7 linked regions of the Kluyveromyces lactis genome follow. The protein of the gene in region 2 interacts with the protein of the main gene of each other region in a biochemical or structural test. Links are inferred from orthologs where the notes say so. Each region holds a gene or a part of one and is shown on either strand. Other genes may lie near its edges. The genes, in order: RCY1, SKP1, HRT3, SKP2, DAS1, PFU1 and SIC1.

Region 1 (4,072 bases), on a different chromosome or scaffold from region 2:
GTTTCAGGGTTTTCCTTTTAAAACCTGGTTTCACCAGATTAGAGAGTTTGGAGATAACAAACACAGAAAGGAACCTAAAATTGACCATATCCTTAGAAATTATGAAACTGATACAAGCCATTCCTACCTTGAGGATATTGAAGCTAAAAGGAAACATTTATAACGAAACTTTAAACAATTTCACAAAGGTTGATTTTGACAATTGCATGAAGTATCTCGCGCTTGATAACGTCAAGGTATTTTACTCAAGTTTTTTTACCGAAGAACAAGAATCGTAAATAAATTTAATTCAGCATTAGTTACAAGATATACAAAAGTTTCAACAGATAACACAATCTGAAACACCTAGTCCATACATAACCTTCTCTACATCCTTACGAACTTTCAACCAGTCCGTTCTTCTTTGCACCAATTCGTAAATTTCCTCCTGTGTGAATACACCTTGGAATTTCCCCACGTCGCAAATTAATTTGCCAAGCTCTTTAGAATCTTTGCCAGAAATAAGATAAAGCTGTCCGACGGATTTCAGACCAGCAAAGTATGGAACAATATTTTTTTGTTTTAATTTCTTTGATATGAAATCATGATAATAGTTGAGATCTGCTATTAAAAATATGGCCCCATCTTCAGAAATTAGATGTTTTTTAATATTCTTTACGGCTTCATCAAAAAACCTTTCTCCAACTTCTTGTTGGAAAACATCAATGGTTCCTTTATCTGTCGCACCAGTCAATAAAAAGCAATGTTCTGAAAGAAGTTCAACACAAGCAACAGCACATTTCGAGGGGAGGATTTCTCTTCTTAAAATGTCCTTAGGATCTGGATTGAAATCGTCTGGGAACTGCATTGTGTTGAAAAGAAACTCGACTTGGTCCATAAGTTTATCGATACCAATGTTTAGCCCATTAGCAACATAATCATCAAGCATAGTTTCGAAGACTTTTTTAGTATGAACCACATCATTAAATATATCTTTGTTTTTATTAATAATTCCTTTCGCAATAAGTTCATTGTTGTAGAAAATAGATATCATTTGCAATATTATGTCGCCGATGTTAATTAATTCCGTGAACTGAACCAAAGGTTCGACTTTATTGTCATCATCTGAGGTGCCATTGATGCTGAGTTTTGCCAATTTTGTTTCATTGGCATCGTAATCCTGTAAAAGTTGCAAAGCCGTCTCGAACCCCAATTTAATATGGTTTTCACTTAATTGCCAGATCAAAGTCTTATAAATTTCTTGGCATTCGGCTTTGACTACAGATTCGAAAACTTTGATGGTTTTGAAATAATAAATCTTTTCCATATGTTCCCGGCAAGATTGAATGACCTTGTAACATAAATCAAGGCTGATTAAGGAAGTGATGTTCTGTAACTTATTATTTATCTTTTGCAACGTGTAAGACATCTCTAAGTCTTGATCAGCCTGCGATTTCGAAGCGTTGTTATTGATTTTGAATATTTTAGTAAAAGATTTAAGGAAATTTGTTTTACCGTCCAATAACTCCTCATTGGTTAGAGTCCTATCCTTTAAAGACTGAAACAACTCTTCGTCTTTTTCCCTCTGTTTAAGCTGAGTTTGTTCTTGATAATCTTTGAATGCTTTTTCTGTTTTGGTTGTAAAATCAGAGACCATTGTATCGAAAAAGTTCTGGATTTCTGGCTCCAAGTATAACTGAATGAATTCAGCTACAAATCGCTTATAAGATTCGCCTGCATTAATACTTGTAGTGAGTTTATCCACTAAATATACTGACATATGGTCACATATGGTCGGAAGAGCCATTATTCTGATATTATTCGGATCCAGGTCATCATTTGAAGAAATTTGTTTATTGAAATATGGTATTAGATGATCCTGGACAAAGTTTTCAGTGTATAGCACCATAACAGGATATTTATCCTGGAACAATTCATCAGTGATGGTAATTTTGTCGTTGAGGAAATCTCGAAATGTATTTAAAGCAAGTTCCAATTGGTCATAACGTAGATTGTCTTCCTCGTCGAATATCGTTTGCGGCAGCTCGACCGAATCTGAAAACTCATTTTTAGATTTAAAGAAGTCAACAGCACTCATTTCATGGCCTAATGATAGGAGAACTTCAACGAATTTTGAGCAAGTAAAATATTCCTTTTTATCAAACCTAATATCCAATTCTCTTATTATGCTGGTGGTGAATAACTCCTTGAATGTGTTGAGGTTTTCCTCAACCTTTTTATAATATGACCAGTCATTATCATTTGATTTGATGTACTTTTGGAGACTCTCTATTATCTTTGCTTGTGATACTGGATCACTGTATTCATCAGGGAAAAATGCTGTAACGTCATTGTAATATAGTTTGTCGGTAAAACCTTGGAAGAATTTATAAAACAGCATATACGCATTTTTCGGTCTCTTAGGGTCGAATTTTTTATGTATATCAAATATATTGCATGCATTTAGTGAAGTAGATTCGTCGAACAGGTAGCCAACCTCCGCTATCAGGCCTATGCCCTTAATTTTATCTAACCAATAATCTTTATCGGTAACTCCATTCAACTGTATATGGTACAAGTTTCTGTTGAGACATTGGAATGATAAATAATCGGATGTGTTCAAACTGAAGGCTATCTGTTTGACTATGTTACTCACTTTAAGAATGTCAGCAAAAGTCACAGCGGAATCCATAGTTAATAATGATGTCTCTCGTAAACCCAGTGGCATCAATGTGTCAGCATCCTCTGGAAATGTTCTCTTAATTTGTATGTTCCTTTTAGTTTTCCTCGATAGATCCACAATTTGTTCTCTGTTCAACATATCAATATTATTATTTATCTAACTAATATAAGAACTATTGAAACATTTGAAATATTGTAAAGCACGCACAAATGAAATGAATGAGACAGACAAGGGCAGTAAAACTTCGCAAGCTACAAGTCTGAATATGGACTCTTTTGACTATCTGTCTGTTCCAGATGGGGTAGAAGTGCCGGCAGATGAATCACAAAGGCGGAGCATATGGAAAACGGTTGAATATGTTATAAGGAACGGTGCAACATATGAAGAGAAGTTAAAGAGCCAGGATATTGGATTCACTCAACCAGGCAACAAGTACAACGACTATTATGCATTCCTTTTAGAGCATCAGAGATCAAGACAGGATACTCTGGTGTCTACTAAGAATGAACTGGATCGTAAACCGAGTGAACCCTATCCATTTGTCTATAGTACTTACCGAAATGATATAGGGCAAAAGGACTTGGAACTAATAAAAGCAGCGGCTCATTTTTGTGTTATCAATAATGATATTAACTACCTTGAGAAACTAAGAGAAAGATATGCGGAAGACCCTCGATTTGCATTTTTACGGCTTGATCATTCTTTGAACTCAGTATTAACTGATTTTATTAATCAATACGAACAGATTTTATCAGAGGAATACGGGCCTATAGTACGATTGGAGGGGCCGTTACAATCAACTATTCTCCGAAGGGCATTTCAGAAAGCAGAATATATGGAATTACAGGATGAATTGAAACAAAAGATGAAGGCAGACATAAAAACATCTAGAATAAGATTCTCGGCTTATGAATGGGAAAAATTTGAATTGGTAGGAACTGTGACTATTAGCGAAGAAGAAAACTTAGAACAGCTACCAGAAGCCTTGAATTTCGATATATTGAAAGCAACAAAGCTCACCAACGATGTTGACATTTTTAAAACAGAAGATGTCAGTGCTGCAGCTCAAAAGAGAAAGAGAAAGAATATGAATATAAGAAAGGCGGGTGAAACTAGATTGAAAAAGAAAAGCGGACTAAGCAACACCAGCGAACACATGCTCAAATGTCCAATTACAGGAAGATTGGTCCCAGAACCCGATTTTGATTCACACTTGAAAATCTTGTTAAGCGATCCTGAGTTCAAAGAAGTACGAGACAAATATGAATCAAAACATAAGTTAACTAATTTGTCTACATCAGAAGTGTACGAAAACATTAAGCGGATAGTGTCGCAAGACAACGCCAACCCTGTAAAAAGGCAGAAAATATAGACGTATGTATGCCTCTGTATGTATTAATTTGTTATATT
Region 2 (2,522 bases):
TCTAAAGGGGAAAAAGTTACAGAAGAAGCTTTCCAAAGGTGAAATAGCTGGGAATGAGTTGGAAAATGAGGGCTTAAGTTCAGGAATGAGTGCGATGACGCCTGCACCCAGTGTGTCAGCGAAATCTCCGCAATCTGCAGATACCACTAGCGTTTCTGAAACGTCTACGAAATCCAAGGCCGAGCTTTGGGACGATTTGAAACTCAAAGCTATCACCAAGATCATTATCTTGTCCTATACCACATCATTATTGATGCTTTTAACCCGATTGCAATTGAATATATTGGCAAGAAGAGAGTATTTGGATACTGCCATCAATTCTGCCATGGAAAAGGAAAGGGAAAAGAAGGCTAATCAATACTCAGTCTTATCTTGGTTCTCTAGTTGGATCACTGAAAAGAGCAACAATTTACCCAGTGAAAAAGCTGACCCAAGAAACAGCGATGGTACTATTGACACGGACACAAGGAGCATTGCATCCACTGCGAACCCTGAAAAATCGAGATACGTTAACGAACAAGCTTTCTTATCCTTATCGTGGTGGTTATTAAACCGTGGATACCTACAATACAAGAGTATCATTGAACAATTGGTGAAAGAAGAGTTCCAAAATTCGAACCCAAGAGATATCATGACAATGGATGAGTTCAGTGGCAAGATAAGCAAGATATTCGTCACCACAAACAAGCAATTCTTTCAACAGCCACAATCGAATGAAATGTTCATTTCATGTCTACTTCCTGAACCTAACTTAGAGAGATTTGTTCTTCAACAAACTTTAGAACAAGATGCTTTGAAAGTACTATACGAGGATAATCTATTACTAAAACAACTTGTACAAGAGACCAACAAATGCCTACAATCACCTGGAACATGGATTGTCCTGGAGTCTTTAATCGATGAAACATTCCACACAATCATGGAACAAATCGAGGATAATGTCAACAGCAAATCGAAACCTAAATCGAATGATGACGACACCAAAGTAGTCGATATATCCAAAAATTCATATCAAATCGCATTATTCTCTATCGCCACGAAAGACTGCACAAACGAAATGTTGAAAGCGGGACTCGTATCAATGAACAACAAGTTCCTACAGAAACTACACTCCATCTCGGCACTTGACGATCTCAGTGCATGCGTATATAGTAACTTCGGTCTATGAAAACCTTACTTGGCCCTCCATTCAAGTACTGAAATCGCTCCATACCGTGTATGTAGATAGTTCTATAGTTAACGTTACTCTTTCACTGGCACTACGGGGTTTCTCTTCCTGTTTCTTTAATGGCCACGTGATCATAATTTTCTTTTCCTTAAGGTCAAATAACGAAAAGAATCGAATTCCCAACAGGTTGTCAATCAACATGTTATACATCTCAGTTAATGTTTGCAAGTGGATAGGAGCTTGGTGTTTGTAGTTAGTTAGCACCATAGAGTTACCAAGTGGGTTCTATTTAGTACCAGAAAATCATGTCCAAGGAAAACCAGAACGTTGTTTTAGTGAGTGTTGAGGGAGAGAGATTTGTCGTTGACAGGAAGATCGCTGAACGCTCACTTTTACTAAAGAACTACTTGCAAGATCTTAACAGTGGCGATTTGCATGATGATAACGATGCTGACGATGACGAAGATGATGAAGAGGATGGTGACGATGAAATAGTGATGCCCGTGCCCAATGTGAGGTCGTCAGTATTACAGAAAGTGATCGAATGGGCCGTTCATCACAAGGATTCCAATTTCCCCGATGAAGATGACGACGATTCGAGGAAAGCTGCGCCTGTGGATCCATGGGACCGTGAGTTCTTGAAAGTGGACCAAGAAATGTTATATGAGATTATTCTAGCAGCTAACTATCTAAATATCAAGCCATTGTTGGATGCTGGATGTAAAGTTGTTGCGGAGATGATTAGGGGCAGAACACCTGAAGAAATCAGAAGGACCTTCAATATCGTTAACGATTTCACTCCAGAGGAAGAAGCTGCCATAAGACGTGAAAACGAATGGGCAGAAGACCGTTAAACTTACAAGTTTTCTTGTTGTTTTCTCTTTCTGTATCTACATCCTCTTCAGTTTAAAATAGCAATTTCCCTCATTTCCCGTATGTAATCAATAATTTAAGTACTTGCTTGTTAAGCGGATCTTAATTGAAGTAGTGAATTTGAGTCATGGGCAAACGCAGGGATCGCTTTCATATCGCATTTATAGCTTCAAGGTCTGTCTCTGCACCGATAATTTTTCATTTTTGTACCTATATATAATATTTAAAGAACGCGCTACCTTAAATTGAAACTTTTTGCTTCTGGTTTTATCTATTCAAGGCAGAACTGCATCGATAGATGCACCATAGGACCCTTGTTACTGGTATACTTGGTGTAGGATTGTGATGACGTTGACCATTGGTGAGGAGACCAAATCCAGACTAAGATCGCTAAGCGGGAATACTAGTTCGTTGCTAAATTTAAACAAACGCAAGAAGAAGAACAAGGAAAAGAAAAAGGATAAGGACAAGAGTCAACCAA
Region 3 (2,806 bases), on a different chromosome or scaffold from region 2:
TGCCTGCGTCCAAAATACCCTTTTATAATTAGATGGGTACTTTATAAATCTATCAAACGCAACAAATCTAGGTATACTTGTACCTCGAATCTCCATGCACTCATATATCAAACTCCGCAGATCTAATAGTCCAGCTAATAGTCAACGCTGTAATAACTCGATATAGCAACTTATATCACTCAATGGCTATATGTTTTTCTGCAACGCACCTCCAATAATTCATTCACATTACATTGTTGGACCTTACTATAAACTAAGATGTACTCTGTGATGTTTTCCGGTAATCGAGCTTTTCGTCAGTTTCTATTGAAATCCGGACGCTCTGGACATTTTCACATGGAGAGGATTTAAAGTCACGTGTAAGAAGATATCACGTGAACGGGCTTTTCTCGTATATCGTCTATCACTTAGCATCGCGCGAGCTACAAGTATCCACTCATTAGTCGTGATGGAAGTACAGCTCTCTGGCTGTTATAGTAATCAAATATGACAGCCCTGATCTAGCAGTCACGGTATGACTTCGCCTTCGAGAAATGAAATGGTTTTTCTTTGCTCAATGAGAACTGCATTGTTGTGCCGTCTTGCCTCGTTGCAGAAGAAGCAATCCATTTCAACTTGCTGAACTTCTTGTGACCTCTGTTTGAGATTTTCAAGATCTCGTTAAATTCAAGCCCATCTTTTCTTCTATTCCTCTTGATTGTCAACTGATCAAGGCCGTCGTCTAATGACAGGGACCACGAACATATATCTGAGTCTTTTCTTTCAGAACATCTTTCTAAAGAGAAACCAGGTACCACTATATTTGGTTCGTCAGTAGTCAATAATCTAATGCATCTTCCATCTGGATAGAATCTGAAGTACCTGTAATAAGTGATCATGTGGATTGGGTTCAACAGCGAAGATGATCCTTCCGGGATCGATCCGTGCCTCAAATAATTCACCACACTGATATATATTCCATGGAACTTGATATACGGCCGTTCCTTTAGCATCTTTCTATAATTTTGACCCCATACGGTTTCTGCTAGTGCTTGTATATCTGATATACCGTTTAGCCTCATCTCATTTTCGTTGTATACTTGCTTCTTATAGATGTATTCCGCGAAAGTCCGGTACGGTGAGGAATCGTGGAAGCATAGCAAATTAAACTTTTTACAAGTCAAAGATAGGTTCATCCACGAGTCTGCTGAGCTTAACACAACCATGTCTATAATCATGGATAATATATCGTCAGGGAGCATATCCAAAATCCAGCAGGGAAGTTCAACAAGGTCTTCAGTTTGAGAAAGTCCTTCAGTTTCCTCTTTTCTGCCGTCCGGATCAGTTTCCGATGAACCATCAACAATATTGACATTAGAATTGAGCTTAAGCTTTTTCATCTCTTCATTTAACCGCCATTCATCATGCATCTTCTTTCTATATAGTTTCTCAACGTCCGGATTCATCCTTAATGCTTTACGGTAATATTTGATCGCGTCGGTCATAGCACCGGCAGTTTCCTTCGAATAGCCCAACTCCCATAGTGCTATAGCTTCAATCGGTTCCTCCATTACGCGTTGTTATTTTTCGTGCGTTAGGCCCCTTGGTAATGAGTATGCTTCCTCTCTCTTTTACCTTATATAGCCGACTAGCTTTTTATGCTGTTTACGTTTTGTTCAGCTTTACGCAACAGGAACGAATATAAAGTTACTACCGAGAGATGGACAAGTACGCACAATGTTGAAAAATATGAAGTGGATTCCTTGTCAGTAGCTGCCATCCTCAGCAAATCGGATTTCTTGATTCTTATCTGACTAAAAAGTAATATTAAGTACATGGCATATTTAATATATGAAGAGCTATATAACTTCAAAGTTCATTAATATGTGAATATCACAAGAAACACAGTCGATAAATCATAAATAGCCAGTCCTTCAAGATCTGGTGCATCAATGAAAAGCAGGAACTAAAACAAAGTGCAAAGTGTGTAGTGCTGTATAGATGCTGCTTATTTCATTGTTATGTCACCACCGATTAATTTATCGATTTCATTCAATAAAGTAAAATCAAAATTATATTCAAAGGCAAATTCATTACCATTAGATAAACTTCCCAAGAGTGCAGTGTTTTCAAGTCCAGTATTAGCATTTATATTGCTACTTTTTGACATTTTCATTTCATTATCGTAAAATTTCTTGGCTAGCTCGTAGTTCAATGACGGAGATCCTAGAAATTCCAAGAATATCGAAAGATTGTCCTTCTTAATTGAACCAGTTTTTATGCACTGAATTGCAAGAATCGAAGAATACAGCATATAAATGTTACTTTTCTGGAATGTTTTGAATTTTCTCATAAACGATCTTAATAAAAAGTACAACTCTTCAATTGCGTTTTCTATCGCCTGTTTACTCTCAGGAAGTGAATCAATAAACGGTTTGTTGTAGGACAAAAGGATAACAAAATAATGATACCATACATGAGCCAAAATAGGATTGTAATCGAAGTTGATTAGCGTTGCCTTAGTGAGAGCAAACTCATCAGGTAGATTCTTACGCCAGTTTGAAACTTCACTGTTGAATTTTGTTAGATATTCCCTTCTTTCCGTTAAAGAACCGGCATGTATGAATATCTTCGGGGCGAAAACCTCAGTTATTCTTGATAGCACAATAATCTTTTTTAAAGGTTTGGCAATAGAAGTTACAATTGTAGGATCGTATTGGTAATCTTCGATACCAGTATCAATATTTGGTAGCTCATCAGTTTCTGGAATTGTCGAATTTGACACACGCAAAGAATTTGAACGACCAAACAATACTGCAATCAAGTG
Region 4 (3,846 bases), about 840 kb from region 2:
CCAATTTCTTAGATTAAACCCTCTAAAAATTCTATATCTCCCAATGTATATTTTGGCTAACTTATAACTCTCCAAAAGCGCTCGGTTGGCCCTGTTCCTCTCCCCCAAGCTCGATATAGATCGCGTAAACTTTTATTCTGAAATGGAAATCCTCATCTTCTCACTTCATAGTCTCTCATTTCAGATTTTCTATCGATATTGAAAAGAAAAAAAAGTTAGAAGTGCGATAAAGAGAGAGAGAGGGAAAACTGACAGTTACTGAATGACTCTATGGATGATGATTGATATAAACTGAAAACCAGTATCGCATCAACCTTTCGGAAAGGGAGGCAGTTCAAAGAGTTCAAATTTAAATTTTCTATTACATGATGAACAGATTTGGTTTGGTCGTTCGCAATGCTGCGAAGAATGGAATCAGAATCATAAGACCGGTTACAAAGTCATCGCCTGAAATTTATCGTCCACTATTTAGTCACCTGGTGCGTACTACGTACAATACCAGAGGATTCCATGCGAGTGTGCGAAAGCTTGATGAAGCAGAAGATGCTGCTGCTAAATTCAAAAATTTAGGGTCCATGAAAGTGGATAAACCGATGTTAATGATTGCGTTCACTTGTAAGAAATGTAATACTAGGTCATCGCACACAATGTCGAAACAAGCATACACTAAGGGAACTGTGTTAATAAAGTGTCCTGGCTGTGACAATAGACATCTTATTGCAGACCATTTGAAAATCTTTAACGATAATCATATTACTATCGAGGATATCATGAAGGCAGAAGGTGAGTCTGTCTCATTGACCACCGACGATTTGGCATTTGAAGATATTCCGGATTCGTTGAAGAATGTTATTGGTCACTACGCAAAGGATGCTCCAGAAGAAATGAAGAAAAAACTGGACAACGAAAAAGTGCATCATTTGCCAAGTACTGAGAAATGAATATATACCGAATGCTTGCTCTTACTTCTCCGAAGTAAGAGACAAGGGTTCGTAATCACTTATTTATAGTTTACGAATTTCGTACGAGCTTTTTTGTATACACATATTTTATACTACTTCAATCATTCATGCATTCTTTTTGACGCAAGTGCTTTCACTCAGAGCCATTTTATGGCCTGTTTCTTGTGCCTTACATCGTGAATAGCGAACTATTCTTGACATTTCCGGACAAAAATCGTTAACTTAGAAATTCCAGCTTCTGAACTCTTCAGATTTACCTGTATAGATACGCAAATGAACAATATGTACAGAAAGAAATCTCTGATAACACCATTTGATGATCGACTTGTCAATGGACCTGTTGTATGTTTGTGCAGGCTTACCCGACAGACTAATTGTTAAGCAAAATGAGAGGACTACAGTTGTTTGGAGGAGGAAGTAGGAGAAGTGTTGAAAGCGAAAGGCCTTTATTGAATACCAAAGAGTCAGTTTTAGTGCCTACTGGACCGCACCTTTTGAAGTTACCAGATAAATTGCTGGAACGAATCCTGGAGAATCTTGATATTCCAACATACTTGTCACTGATACAAGTCAACAAGAAGTTATATCAGCTAATTTGTGAAAGGTTTTTATTTAAACATGTGGTTTTAATGAATAAGAACGCATTGTTAAAATTCAACGCTTTGATTGAATGCAAAAGTCTTACTCTGAGAAATGATATCAGTTATCTGGTGAAAACTGTTGAATTCGTGGATCCAGAATATCATGATTCTCTGTTCAAATATAGCAAATACTATAACACTGGGTTTGCGGACACTGTAATAGGTGGCTCGTATTCATTCAGTGAAAGACAGGGACGATCGACAGATATCAGAACATCGTCTAGATCTGCATCCGTGTCCTCTACAAGATCAAGAACTAAACAAGGTGCTTCAGAGGTATATCATCAACTTTCCAAACTTGAATCTAAATTCCTTGACTACACTTACATTGAATTGATGCTAAATATCATAGATTCACTTCCTAACGTTTCACACGTTATTCTCTCTCAGGTGGAGAAGAACTTCAAGATCCCATTATGGTATTCAGTTTTAAATGATGGCTCTAAGGATTTCTTCAAGAAGATTATTAAAGGTCAAGGGTCAATGACAGTAGAGGATTTGAGAACATTTAGGGTTTCCAGTGATTGGATTAAACAATACGAGGAAACATTCCATTCTCTATCTAGATTCAAACGACTATCTATCAAGGCGAAGACTAACCTAGTTCTAAAGCCTAACTTGCTTTGTTGCTTTGGTGTTTTTGATGAGTTAATGTTGGAAAATATCACCATTACTCCTGAATCCATTGATACACCATTGGAATATTTGCCGCTATATATGCGAATAGGACACGACAAATGTTTGGATCTACATCTTCCAGTTCAAACATTGGAACTCAAATCCTGTGTCATCAAAGCTGGTAATGGACTTATGAGATTATTGTACTCGTTCTTTTTCCGTGTCAGAAAGTTATCATTGTTTGATCTTCAAAGTAAATATGATCTCCTTTTGATAAATTGCTTTGGTTCTCTCACGCACCTAACCATAGACTGTAATAGTACATGCTTTGTCAATGTCAAACCTACTGATGAGTCATATTATTTTCCAGAAGAACCTATGCAGGACGATATGGATGATCTCAAGACACTGATAGACCCTCAGAAAGGTGTAAAACTAACAGCACCACCGCCAACTACACCAGTGGTTGTTGTAATGAGCAATGGGAAGTTAATAAACACCGAAGCTAGCACACCACGGAAACCAGCACTTTTAACAACAGAACAAGCACATTACTTTGGATCCTCATCGATATCTCCTTTCCATTCTTATTTCCATCATTTCAAAAGATTGTGGGAACGGATTCCAAACTCAGGAGTACATTTGACAATAGTTAATATCCCCTTCACGAATGTATTTCCCTTAGTTCCTGAACTTGTGTGGGAACGCTTTTTGACTAGTGATCAAGACACCCTCTACGATAATTCAGACGATGAAAATAACCATGAGTTGGACGAGTATTGGTGGGATCCAAAAATAAAAGAAAATCTTGAACGAGCGACTCATTTCAATAATGATATAGACATCTCTGAAGAAGATTTTTCACCCAGGAAATGGAATGATTTCCATAGGATTAACTCTTTCAAGGACATTCCTAATGTCAACGTTTGGTACTTCTTGAAGCTTTTGTCTAAGTTTCAGTCCGTTGAGATTCGAATGTTACGTCAATGGTTGTTCTGCACTCCTCGTACGAGATATGATTGGGAACTCTTATTACGACCTGTGTTAAATGGCAGAGTACCTGTCACAGTGAAGGATAATGCTGGATATTTGTTATATTCCTATGGAAATTCTAAAAAAACATGATTGAAACTATATCTAAAATAAAGCCAAGCACCATACTACATCCTAAGATGAGGTTTGTTCTAGAGAGTCTTAATCCATTTCCTGAGTTTGAAGCCTTTTTTTCTGGTCCAGTTAACTTCACGGAACCTACTTCATTGACAATCGAGAACTTTGGGCTCCTACTTAACTGATTTCCATTTGCATCATAGTATTTGCTATTGCAAGTTAAGTCTGACTTGTCTAAATTCACATATTTACCTTTATCGCATTTAACACCCTTTCTGATAAATTCAGTGGCTAATTTCGGAACTACTTTCGCAGTGATATCCAAATTGGTGTATTTGTTGGTACATGCAGGACTGTTGTTAACTATCCTAGATGTAGACTTGTCTTGACTTATTTTTAAGTCTGTGCTTGTTGGATGTGGTGTTTGCTTGTATTGGTTTTTGAGCGCCTCAAAGTCCTCTAATAGATAAACATCGCCGGTCTCTTCATTAACTGAGACCAAGCCGTAATTGTTT
Region 5 (3,257 bases), on a different chromosome or scaffold from region 2:
ATGAATTCCCATACTATTATCATGTATTCAAAAGATTGTTCAAATATAAACTAACTTTAAATTTGATCAATAGAGAGGATTCATTAGATCATATGTTGACGATTCTAAAACATGAGAATCATCAAGTTCTAGAAAAATTGGGTATAACCAGTAAAGACGCAGAAATGTCAGACGACGATGTAATAAAAGTCTGGAATGCCAGATTCAGTTTCACTGAAAAAGTAGTTAATTTGAAAGTTGAAATGATGTGTAAAAACTACGAACCAAATCTCTTCTCATCAAGTTATCAGCACGCTCTTGAAAAATTAGAAGAGAGGCATTCGGCCAAGGCAGATGCAATAGATGTCACTCAATTTTTGCAACAAGTCTTTGACTCAACAGATTTTGACCTCTTTTATGGGATGGATGTAGGTGAACTCCCCAAGATGGACAGCATTCTTCCATAATTTTTTTGGGCTTGGTACTTTCCCTCTTGTTCCTTGTATAGAAAAGTACAATATTTAACAATTTCCCATATTCGATTTGTAACCATTATTAAAGAAAACTGGAACAGGAACACGGGCACCTTCTCTCTCGAGAACGATACAAGGTACGTCGTTCAAAACCAAATATCGTAATCTTTTCAAATTTGAGAGTATAGTTGTATATGTCTTTTTATTGTGATGAACCATTGCATGATAGCACTTGATGACGTCAGATTCTGTGATGGGTTCAATCGGGGTTGAGTTTCTATGCATGGATTTATAGTGCCTATTGTATTCATTAATCTTGGTGACGAAGTCCGAGAGATTCATTGGTTGTGTCCTAACAGAAGGGTATATGTCAAATGCTTTTGAATAAGGTAATAAAGAGAGGTATTTCATCATTGTGAATATATCCTTAGCGATCAAATCGCTTAAATCTCTGATCACCATATCTTTCGACGAATTGAAAAATTTACCGTATAGTATATCCTGAAACACATGATTACAATCATCACAATGGCAGTTATGTAAGAATTTGAACCTTGACCCCTCGATAGAAATGATCTGCCTGTCGATATTTTCGAATCTCAAATCTAGGAATTGTAGCTCTCTACAATTTAATAAAATGGACAGGAATACATCCGTTGAAACAGGATGTGGAGTGAACTCATGCAAAAAATCTGTCTTCAACCTTTTCAAATTCTTCAAACGTTTGAAAAGTTCGATGAGTATGGCTGGATTTTGTCTCATAGATATAAGAGATAAATCCCGAATTTCTGTAAACTCGTAAAATTCAGTCAAAATTTCCAATTCTCGTTTATTCAAATTCTCATTCCATGATATGATTGTTAACACCTTTAAAGTTCTCACATCGAAGACATCTGAAAGTTTAGTAAGCTTCGGGTATTGGTTCAGCGGTTTCAATTGATCGGGCGGATAATATTCTTTCCTCCAATGTAGTTTCAAGTCATGGATTTGCAATTTAAATTGCAATGGGTATATGCAATTGAACAACTGGATGGGATCCATGAAAAGAGTCATGTGTGACAAGTTAGAAGAAATCCGTTGCTTTAAATATTGAGCTAAATTAGGCAAATACGTTCTGGAAACTTCTCCCTCGGGCATGGAATTAGGTGGGGCACTATCGAAACTGGTGACATTATGACGCGATTGGATTCCATTTGCAATAATATCGTTACAATCCGGGTCCGTAACGTTTTCCAATCGTATAATGGATTTAGAGTACGTACATAGCAACCTTAAAACTTCTGCCTGCTTCTCTTTATCCAAATCCCAATTAATCCGTATCCATTGAATGGAATTCAACCTTTCACTGTTCCTAGATAAAGTGCGTATAAGAAGATCAAGTTTCGCATTAGCCAACCCACGAGACCAGCACTCTGCCTCGTTTGGGGGCATGTACAAGTATGTCCAGTTGATAGCGAGGTTGACTATATCACTCTCTACTACATTCGAATCGTTCAAATAAATTCTCCGATACAAAATCGGCAGTGCTAGTTTTGAAACCCGTTTATTCACCAAACATAGGTTCAATCTATCTCGCTGCGGTACATGAGTAATGACTTCAGCTAAAAGCTCGTCTGGAAGTGATTCCAGTGGGAATGTATCAATCATGGATAATAAGTAATCAAAAGAGCAATTTGTACGGCGTCTTTAAACAGCAATCTCTCCTCTTAGTAACATAAAGCTCCTCTAATATACAGCATACAGCCATCAAGAGTGAAAGAAGTTTAGTGTTTTTGATGGTAGAAGCCGGCAATAAGAATCGAATGACTGGGCTATTGTATTCAAGCATAAGGTAGGCATGTTAAAGGGTAATGAATTCCTGGCAAAGAACGAACGGAAGTGAAGTTTCGAATTCCAAGAAATTGAAATCAAAGTCACGTGAGTAGAAATGAAGATCACATTGTACGGAAATCCGTTATGCGTTCCTTTCCTCAATCAAACCCGCGACATCAATGAAAAGAACAGACAGAACAGCCGGGTACCTTGAAGAAGAACTTCCAGAGAGCCATTTTATGGTATATAACTGGGGTAAATAGACCCATATTCAACCGGTAGATTATCGAAGAAACCCAGTTAACCCAGTTAATAAAGGGGCTACACTGCGCTGGAATATAATAAATTGAAATGAAGAACTACTCCCAATTTAGTTGAACTACTAACAGTATAAGAACTGGGTGTGTGGCCGAGTGGTTAAGGCGCCTGCTTCAGGGACAAGAAATGAGCATGCGGACTCAATGCGGCATCAAAACCGTCTCCGTCGCTTTCCAATTGACACATTCTGCTTTACCTTTGGGGGGGCCAAGAAAATTGCGATAGCCGTTTCCTTAAACCTTTAAACAGAGGTTTTCTACGCAGTTTTGTGCGAGTTGTAAGGGGCCTGGTCCGAAAATCAAAAATTTGTGGGTCCTCCAGAAAATCTTCACTGATTGCTTGGCGGCTATTGGGTGCGGGTAGAGCAGAAGTGGATTGCGAGTGACGGACACGGTTACCCGGAATATGCAGGTCTGTTAATGTTAACAGGCGCGAGTTCGAACCTCGCCGCATCCAAATATACTTTTTTTTGTTGGGTATCGATCCTTTTCATTCCGGTTTCTCTGGCATATACCATTACGCAATTGCTAATGCTGATTTAACGAATGTTTCTTTAGATATCAACCACTATTTATTATTTACTATTTACTTGTACTTACGGAAAGGCGTTTCCTTGGGTGGGAGAGTGATAGTCATCATACTTTTTCTGGTATTTTTCCGCTTCACAAGAACTCA
Region 6 (3,281 bases), on a different chromosome or scaffold from region 2:
TATGACATTGTAGCAATTTGATGGAAATATCGACATCTTTCCCATTGGAGTAGGATTTATTACTAGAAACGTTAGCAATAGAAGAGAGTATCTCCCTATTAATGATCAACTGGTTATCAAATTCTTTTGAGCCTAGATTTTCGAGTGATGTTAATAGATTGTGTTGGAGGATAGAAGTGTTGACCTCATCGGAAAAATTGTAATCCTCAGGTTCAGAAGTCTTCAATATACAATGTGAGATATTATTGACCAAGCTGGGTAAAAATGTATCTTCCTCTTCATCTTCAACTTCTTCAATTTGCGCATCATTTTTCGAAGTATCAATTTCTCCAGAATTGCAAACTGCTATATTGGAAGTGCTTTCAATGCATTTACAGACTTGAATTAAAACTTCAGAAAGGGAAACGAGCTGAACCAAAGATAAAAACTTCTTATGATCTACAAAGGAGCATAAGAGGTCAAAAGAAGTTCCGACAAGTAGGTTGTACTGTTCGTCTAGAAATACATTTTTCATAGAAATAATCAATTTGAAAAGTGGGACAGCTACTCTTCTTGCTGCTCTTTCATAATAGGTATCGTTATCCATGGCCAAGTTAGAAATTAAAACAACTGTCCTCAATTGCAATTTAACAACGTAGTCTTCCTCGTCAAATAGACCAAGTATCCTGCCAGCGTAGTAGTCGATAAATTCGTTATGTTTGGTACAGTCGCCATTCCAAAATACCTCCCTATTAGCATCATTATCAACCAGGCAATTTGCAATGGATCTTACTAATTCTGAAGAGATTTGAAGAAATTGTATCCGTTTACTTGATTCTTGGAATGCATAATCCAAAAAGGAATTTAGTACCCTCAACAATTGACTTAATAGACCAGTTTCTCTAATAAGGTCTCTGTTTGATTCAGCACGTAGATGCACCGCTAATTGTTCAAGAACTGTAATATAACTTTGTAAAAAGACGTCCTGGACAGGAACATCCTTTGGATTAGCTGCATTGAGCAATGGTTGCAAACCAAATAGTATCTGCTCATATTCCATTTTTGGACAATGGACTATGGGCTTTAATCGTGGTTATCATTTTTATAAAGTGGACAGTCTCGCCAAGACCGCACTTTCAATGATCGATCTTTAAACATACAATTGCTGACTTTTTAAGATTCTACTCATAAATGTCAACAACACACATAGGTAAACAAGAAAGGTAAGGTCATAAAATAATACTGGTTTGACAACCCATGACTAGAATTCTCTCGAATATTATCTTGATTATGGCATGAGTTAACAGGACTCGGTAAGTGACCTTCTGTAATAGGTCAGATGACCTATTATTTCATACACATAATAATACTTTCGGTAGCTGCAAACACTTTTAAATAGTGAAAAATCGCAAAAGTTGAGCATTAGTAAAAGCATCGACTAATTGCTAAGAAACTAATAAGGTAAGTAATATATTTCACATAGTCCATCTATGAGAACATATCCGACGGCTTCAAGAAACTATGGCTAATAAAAGAAGGCCAAAGAAAGTAAAGCCTCCTTATAGAAAATATGTTGGCGGTGTTGGATTCACACACACTCAAGGGTTCAGTCAAATAGCTGAAGAAAATGACACAACGAATATCCAAAAGTTTAATGAATTACAAATAAACGAAATACGTAATCCTTCTGATAGCGAGGAATCACGACTACAGGGAGATTCTGTCCGATCAGATGTAACTGATTACGGTGGTATGAAGCTTCCACTAGAAATATTTGACCTTACGATTTCTATGATGAGTCCGCAAGATATCAGGATGAACTTAGTGCTAGTGTGTCGAGCATGGTATCTTATATGCATACCAAAATTATATCGTACACCAAAGTTAACTAGTCGAAACTTTTTAAAGTTTGTGGAAACGGTATTGGCAGATAGGAAGAGAAAAACATGTGAGCACGTAGTTCATTTGGATTTATCTCCTATTATACAGAGTGGGAAGAATAGCTATGTGTCAAAAGTGCTACGACGTTGCTCTAAAAATTTGGTTTCATTTACAGCGCCACAGACTAGTTTTGGAATAGCTCCTTTGATCAGTCTTAAATCCTGCCAAAACCTTAAATACCTTGATTTAGGATTGGTATCAGAAACAGTCAATTTAAAAGAATTATTCTTGGCGATCAAAAACTTCCATGAGTTAACACATTTATCGTTTCCAAGAAGTTCCATTCAATGTGACGGATATAGAGACTTCCAATGGCCCCCAAATTTACAATATTTGAAGCTCAGTGGTGGGATCACAAATGAGTTCGTGCAAGAAACGATATTTCCTAATACCATCAAAATCTTAGAGTTTTCATTTTGTCCCCAAATTAATGAACATTCAATATACACAGTATTGGCCAAAATTGGTGATAATTTGACACAACTATACTTCCATTATCCAATGCCAGCCTTAAAGGACAATTCCTTGGATCATGTATTCAGGTACTGTTCCAATTTAAAAGTACTACAACTAATGATAGATTATTGCACCAGATGGGTTTTCAGTGAATACTTCTTTACGCAATTACCATATCCTCGGCCGCTTAGAACCCTCATATTGGAATGTAGCGGCCACCTTGGTCAAACATTCAAAGTACATCCTGATGACTTAACTATAGCGATATGTGAGGGTAGATTGCCTTGTTTAAAAATTATCCGAATTTCTTCTAGGCTAGGTTGGGACTCTCAAGGCGATGACGTCGGCGATTTAGTCTCGAGTTTGGAGGAAGAAAACGGCGGGAGCATGTATATCACATACTGAATGCAGTGAAAATATATAACACATAAAATTGATAGAATTTGGACATTTAATAGCCACAGTGCTTATCGGTTAGAATGAATACTCTTATTCAGAGTGCTATTAAATCCTATGCGTACCTTTACGTTGCATCAAAGCCTAAGAAAAATACATTTTTATTTAGATGTCGGATCTTGGCTAAGAATGGTTTACTTTAAGGACAAAAAGATAGGGCCGCAGCCAACAGTGAATCAGAATGACTGCAGGTTCCATCTTTTTCAGCAAGTTTGTTGTTACAAAACAAGTTTTCTACGTATGTGAAATACCATGTAGAGGATATACTTTAATTAGCAAAGTGCAATTATTGCTTTGAGTGATACCTTCAATTTACTAACCGTTGAATTCACTACTCAATAACTTCAGAAAACTAAATATTCATACGCGTTGGTGAATTTAAAACCTTTATTTCCGGGCCATGTGCTAGTTGTGCCGTTGCGTACCGAATGCCTTTCTCTCTCTGATCT
Region 7 (2,738 bases), on a different chromosome or scaffold from region 2:
GAGATTTTGTCATCTGAGACTGCAATCTCTGAAGGACCCTGTTCTGTTCCATGATATCTTCCAAAGATTCCTGTCCCATCTGTAATATTCTGTCCAAGTGCGCGTTGCCTCTCTCAAAGATCGAGTTCTCTTTCCTCAATCCTTCATATAGTGGTAAACCAGCCGCCGAATTGATAGTCATTCTTTCACTGTTCTGATCTAAGGCGCCTATTCCGAAAGATGTTTGCGGAGGAGCATTGATGTTCCTTTTATTCATCACGGTCTCTTCCACCATTGATGCTTGCTGGTTGAACAACTGATCTCTCGCATTAATTTCTGAGTATTTTTGCTTCAATTCGGTAAATTTCTCTTTTGCATCTTCGTAATCCTGTGTTAAGGTCTGAAGTCTCGTCTCATACTTTAGTTTAGTTTCGTCGTTGTCATCTGAACTATTTATTTGATATTGCTTGTATTGTTCCTTGTACTGATGAAGCGTTTTCTCGAAAGAAACAAGGGTTGTGGCGATCGCCCCTTGCAAAGAGATCGGCGCTGTTACGAGCTCTTTCTCAAATTTACCCAAGTCTTTATTTAGAAGACTTCGCTGCTTGATGGCATGATTATACAACGCGTTCTAGTGATATCGTGGGAAACAATAATTAAGGTAAGTTAGTAAATAAGTAACACATACGCGACGCGTGTCTATAAATGTAGAAATACAATTAGAGCAGCGCTCCAGCGAAACATACCATCTTAGCCCTGTTGTGATCGCAAAAATTCTTGATCGCTAATGAAGATCCAAAAGATTCAAGAAAGGAATACTCTTGAGAAATACAGGAAAATGCTGAGTCAAACGTTGAGCGTCAATCGTCAATTCTGATCGATCTGAATTATCCCAATGCGTATGAATGTTCCATAAACTTTCTTAGTTTCCAGTGGTTCCACTGCTCACAGACGCAATCCTTGTTTAGAAGTTATTTACTGCTACTCAAGTATGACTGCTAAATTGTTGCTGGTTCAATATTATTAGTGGTTCACATTAAAAAAAAAATTAAAGATGCTGGTTTTGAGTCTCACATATATCTATATATAAAGATAGTTTAACAGCGAACCATATCCAGCATAGAGCGGTTGCATACGCACCTAAGTAATCGAATCAGAGTCTCTTCATATCAAATTCCTTCTTGACGATAGTGAGGTTACTGGAAACTGGTTTCAACCTACTCTGCTTTTTGCTTCATTATAAGTTGCCAGATTTTCAGTCCGTTTTGTTTTAGACAGAAAAAGGGATATCATCGGTATAGTATACATTCTATACCATCTTTGCTACTTTTCATTTAGATCTCATCAACACACCGATACATCTGAAAACAATATCAATAGCTTTCAATTGGTAATACTAGAGTTTATCCTCTTTTTTTTTTGCATTCTACGCATTACACTCTTATTTCCATAATAATGACCCCAGCTACCCCTCCAAGTTCTAGGAATAAGAGATCAAATAAGACAGATTTGCTGCTCGCAACTCCAGAGCGAGCCGCGGAATCTGATTCCTCTGGCATGGTTACTCCGGGGACAGTTAGAGTAAAGGATAGATTGCAGCCACCTACTAGACCCATGAATTTAACAAGTCCATGCCCGGCATTAAAGACACCTGAATATACCCCACATAAGAACAAACATACGAAACGCAGGATAGAGTTTGACCAGGAGAAGTTACAACCTGTCAGTAGGGTCTTGTTCGGATCGGATTTCCAAGTAGAAGAAACTTCAAACAACAGGACTTTGCTACCACCAAAGAGAACCGGTATAATGGAGTCTTTCAAAGGCGTTCAAAGTTATAATATCAATGATGAGTATGCTGTCAATAACAAATTCAAACTTGCTAAACAAGAGCCAGGAACTCCAAGTGACAAGATCACCACCTTTGAACTTGCTAGAAAATGGCATAACGAGTCTGGTCTGAATACATCGCAATCAGAAAACGAAGAAGAAAATATTCATATTGAACAACAACCTACGGCAGTCAACCAACATAGTAATTTAGAGAATCCATTTCTTTCGAATAATATTGCTGATGAAAAACTGCGAAAAGAACGTAAAGAGAAGATGCTACTTGAGGACCCTGATTTGGAAGATACAATCACTTATGTGAATAAAGGAGGGAAGGTCGTTTCTAAAAGACATTTGACTGACGATGAGAAACAAAGGTTTAAACCTACGAGACTCTTTGCTGAAGAAATAGATAGGCATGATGGGTAGGTAAGACACATGAATAAAACGGGTTTTTATTTTTTATTTTTAACTATAGCTAACGGTACCGACACAATTCATAAGGAAAGAAGGGTATGGAATTCCCCTGTAACACTACATAACAAAAACTGCTAAAACATCATATTTATAAATACAATACTTACGATAATTTTCGTAGAATATTTCAGTGAAATAAGATTGTCGTTTTTGATCGTCGCAGAGTGTTAATTCTATGTAAAAGTCATATATATTAACAAAAACCCTTCATCAACCCCTGGATGATGGATTTGATCCTTTTCTCTTGAGTTCTTTGAAGATTTTCTTTCTATGCCTCAACAAATCTTCAAATACTTTGTATCCAAGTTCATTAGCTGTTGGCAGAATTGGATGTATTAGGCAATTTGCAAACTCTTGGCTAATGGCATCCCGTAAATTTTCTGCAAGTTCTTGACTTTCTTCAGATTTATTCATTCTAATGATTTCAATTAGTCTCTCGAAATGGGTTGTGA

Evidence for each region.
Region 1: the proteins of SKP1 (region 2) and RCY1 form a complex in vitro, tested with the Saccharomyces cerevisiae proteins (2 studies listed by BioGRID). The link is inferred for Kluyveromyces lactis from reciprocal best matches to the Saccharomyces cerevisiae genes SKP1 and RCY1.
Region 3: the proteins of SKP1 (region 2) and HRT3 form a complex in vitro, tested with the Saccharomyces cerevisiae proteins (2 studies listed by BioGRID). The link is inferred for Kluyveromyces lactis from reciprocal best matches to the Saccharomyces cerevisiae genes SKP1 and HRT3.
Region 4: the proteins of SKP1 (region 2) and SKP2 form a complex in vitro, tested with the Saccharomyces cerevisiae proteins (2 studies listed by BioGRID). The link is inferred for Kluyveromyces lactis from reciprocal best matches to the Saccharomyces cerevisiae genes SKP1 and SKP2.
Region 5: the proteins of SKP1 (region 2) and DAS1 form a complex in vitro, tested with the Saccharomyces cerevisiae proteins (2 studies listed by BioGRID). The link is inferred for Kluyveromyces lactis from reciprocal best matches to the Saccharomyces cerevisiae genes SKP1 and DAS1.
Region 6: the proteins of SKP1 (region 2) and PFU1 form a complex in vitro, tested with the Saccharomyces cerevisiae proteins (2 studies listed by BioGRID). The link is inferred for Kluyveromyces lactis from reciprocal best matches to the Saccharomyces cerevisiae genes SKP1 and PFU1.
Region 7: the proteins of SKP1 (region 2) and SIC1 form a complex in vitro, tested with the Saccharomyces cerevisiae proteins (3 studies listed by BioGRID, with this or other methods). The link is inferred for Kluyveromyces lactis from reciprocal best matches to the Saccharomyces cerevisiae genes SKP1 and SIC1.

What each region holds. Positions count from the first base shown.
Region 1 is NC_006039.1:296,529-300,600, forward strand, and holds RCY1 (Rcy1p), read right to left. Parts: upstream 2,801-4,072; coding exon 320-2,800; downstream 1-319. Other genes in the region: KLLA0_C03278g (uncharacterized protein), read left to right, coding at 1-278; PRP21 (Prp21p), read left to right, coding at 2,877-4,034. UniProt on the Saccharomyces cerevisiae protein: Involved in recycling plasma membrane proteins internalized by endocytosis. Required for recycling of the v-SNARE SNC1.
Region 2 is NC_006041.1:1,507,385-1,509,906, reverse strand, and holds SKP1 (SCF ubiquitin ligase subunit SKP1), read left to right. Parts: upstream 1-1,473; coding exon 1,474-2,022; downstream 2,023-2,522. Other genes in the region: PEX3 (Pex3p), read left to right, coding at 1-1,168; YSP2 (Ysp2p), read left to right, coding at 2,387-2,522.
Region 3 is NC_006042.1:1,812,962-1,815,767, forward strand, and holds HRT3 (SCF ubiquitin ligase complex subunit HRT3), read right to left. Parts: upstream 1,551-2,806; coding exon 501-1,550; downstream 1-500. Other genes in the region: CHA4 (Cha4p), read right to left, coding at 1,988-2,806. UniProt on the Saccharomyces cerevisiae protein: Substrate recognition component of a SCF (SKP1-CUL1-F-box protein) E3 ubiquitin-protein ligase complex which mediates the ubiquitination and subsequent proteasomal degradation of target proteins. Probably recognizes and binds to phosphorylated target proteins.
Region 4 is NC_006041.1:662,797-666,642, forward strand, and holds SKP2 (putative SCF ubiquitin ligase complex subunit SKP2), read left to right. Parts: upstream 1-1,348; coding exon 1,349-3,346; downstream 3,347-3,846. Other genes in the region: ZIM17 (Zim17p), read left to right, coding at 366-941; GAS4 (1,3-beta-glucanosyltransferase), read right to left, coding at 3,333-3,846. UniProt on the Saccharomyces cerevisiae protein: Substrate recognition component of a SCF (SKP1-CUL1-F-box protein) E3 ubiquitin-protein ligase complex which mediates the ubiquitination and subsequent proteasomal degradation of target proteins. Probably recognizes and binds to phosphorylated target proteins.
Region 5 is NC_006037.1:558,896-562,152, forward strand, and holds DAS1 (SCF ubiquitin ligase complex subunit DAS1), read right to left. Parts: upstream 2,100-3,257; coding exon 501-2,099; downstream 1-500. Other genes in the region: OAF3 (Oaf3p), read left to right, coding at 1-446; PAM17 (Pam17p), read right to left, coding at 3,245-3,257. UniProt on the Saccharomyces cerevisiae protein: Substrate recognition component of a SCF (SKP1-CUL1-F-box protein) E3 ubiquitin-protein ligase complex which mediates the ubiquitination and subsequent proteasomal degradation of target proteins. Probably recognizes and binds to phosphorylated target proteins.
Region 6 is NC_006039.1:870,935-874,215, forward strand, and holds PFU1 (Pfu1p), read left to right. Parts: upstream 1-1,500; coding exon 1,501-2,781; downstream 2,782-3,281. Other genes in the region: BEM4 (Bem4p), read right to left, coding at 1-1,039; HNT2 (bis(5'-adenosyl)-triphosphatase), read left to right, coding at 3,014-3,070, 3,181-3,281. UniProt on the Saccharomyces cerevisiae protein: Substrate recognition component of a SCF (SKP1-CUL1-F-box protein) E3 ubiquitin-protein ligase complex which mediates the ubiquitination and subsequent proteasomal degradation of target proteins. Probably recognizes and binds to phosphorylated target proteins.
Region 7 is NC_006040.1:496,913-499,650, forward strand, and holds SIC1 (cyclin-dependent protein serine/threonine kinase inhibiting protein SIC1), read left to right. Parts: upstream 1-1,434; coding exon 1,435-2,238; downstream 2,239-2,738. Other genes in the region: BOS1 (Bos1p), read right to left, coding at 1-610, 726-728; GTPase-activating protein RGD2, read right to left, coding at 2,497-2,738. UniProt on the Saccharomyces cerevisiae protein: Substrate and inhibitor of the cyclin-dependent protein kinase CDC28. Its activity could be important for faithful segregation of chromosomes to daughter cells. It acts in response to a signal from a post-start checkpoint.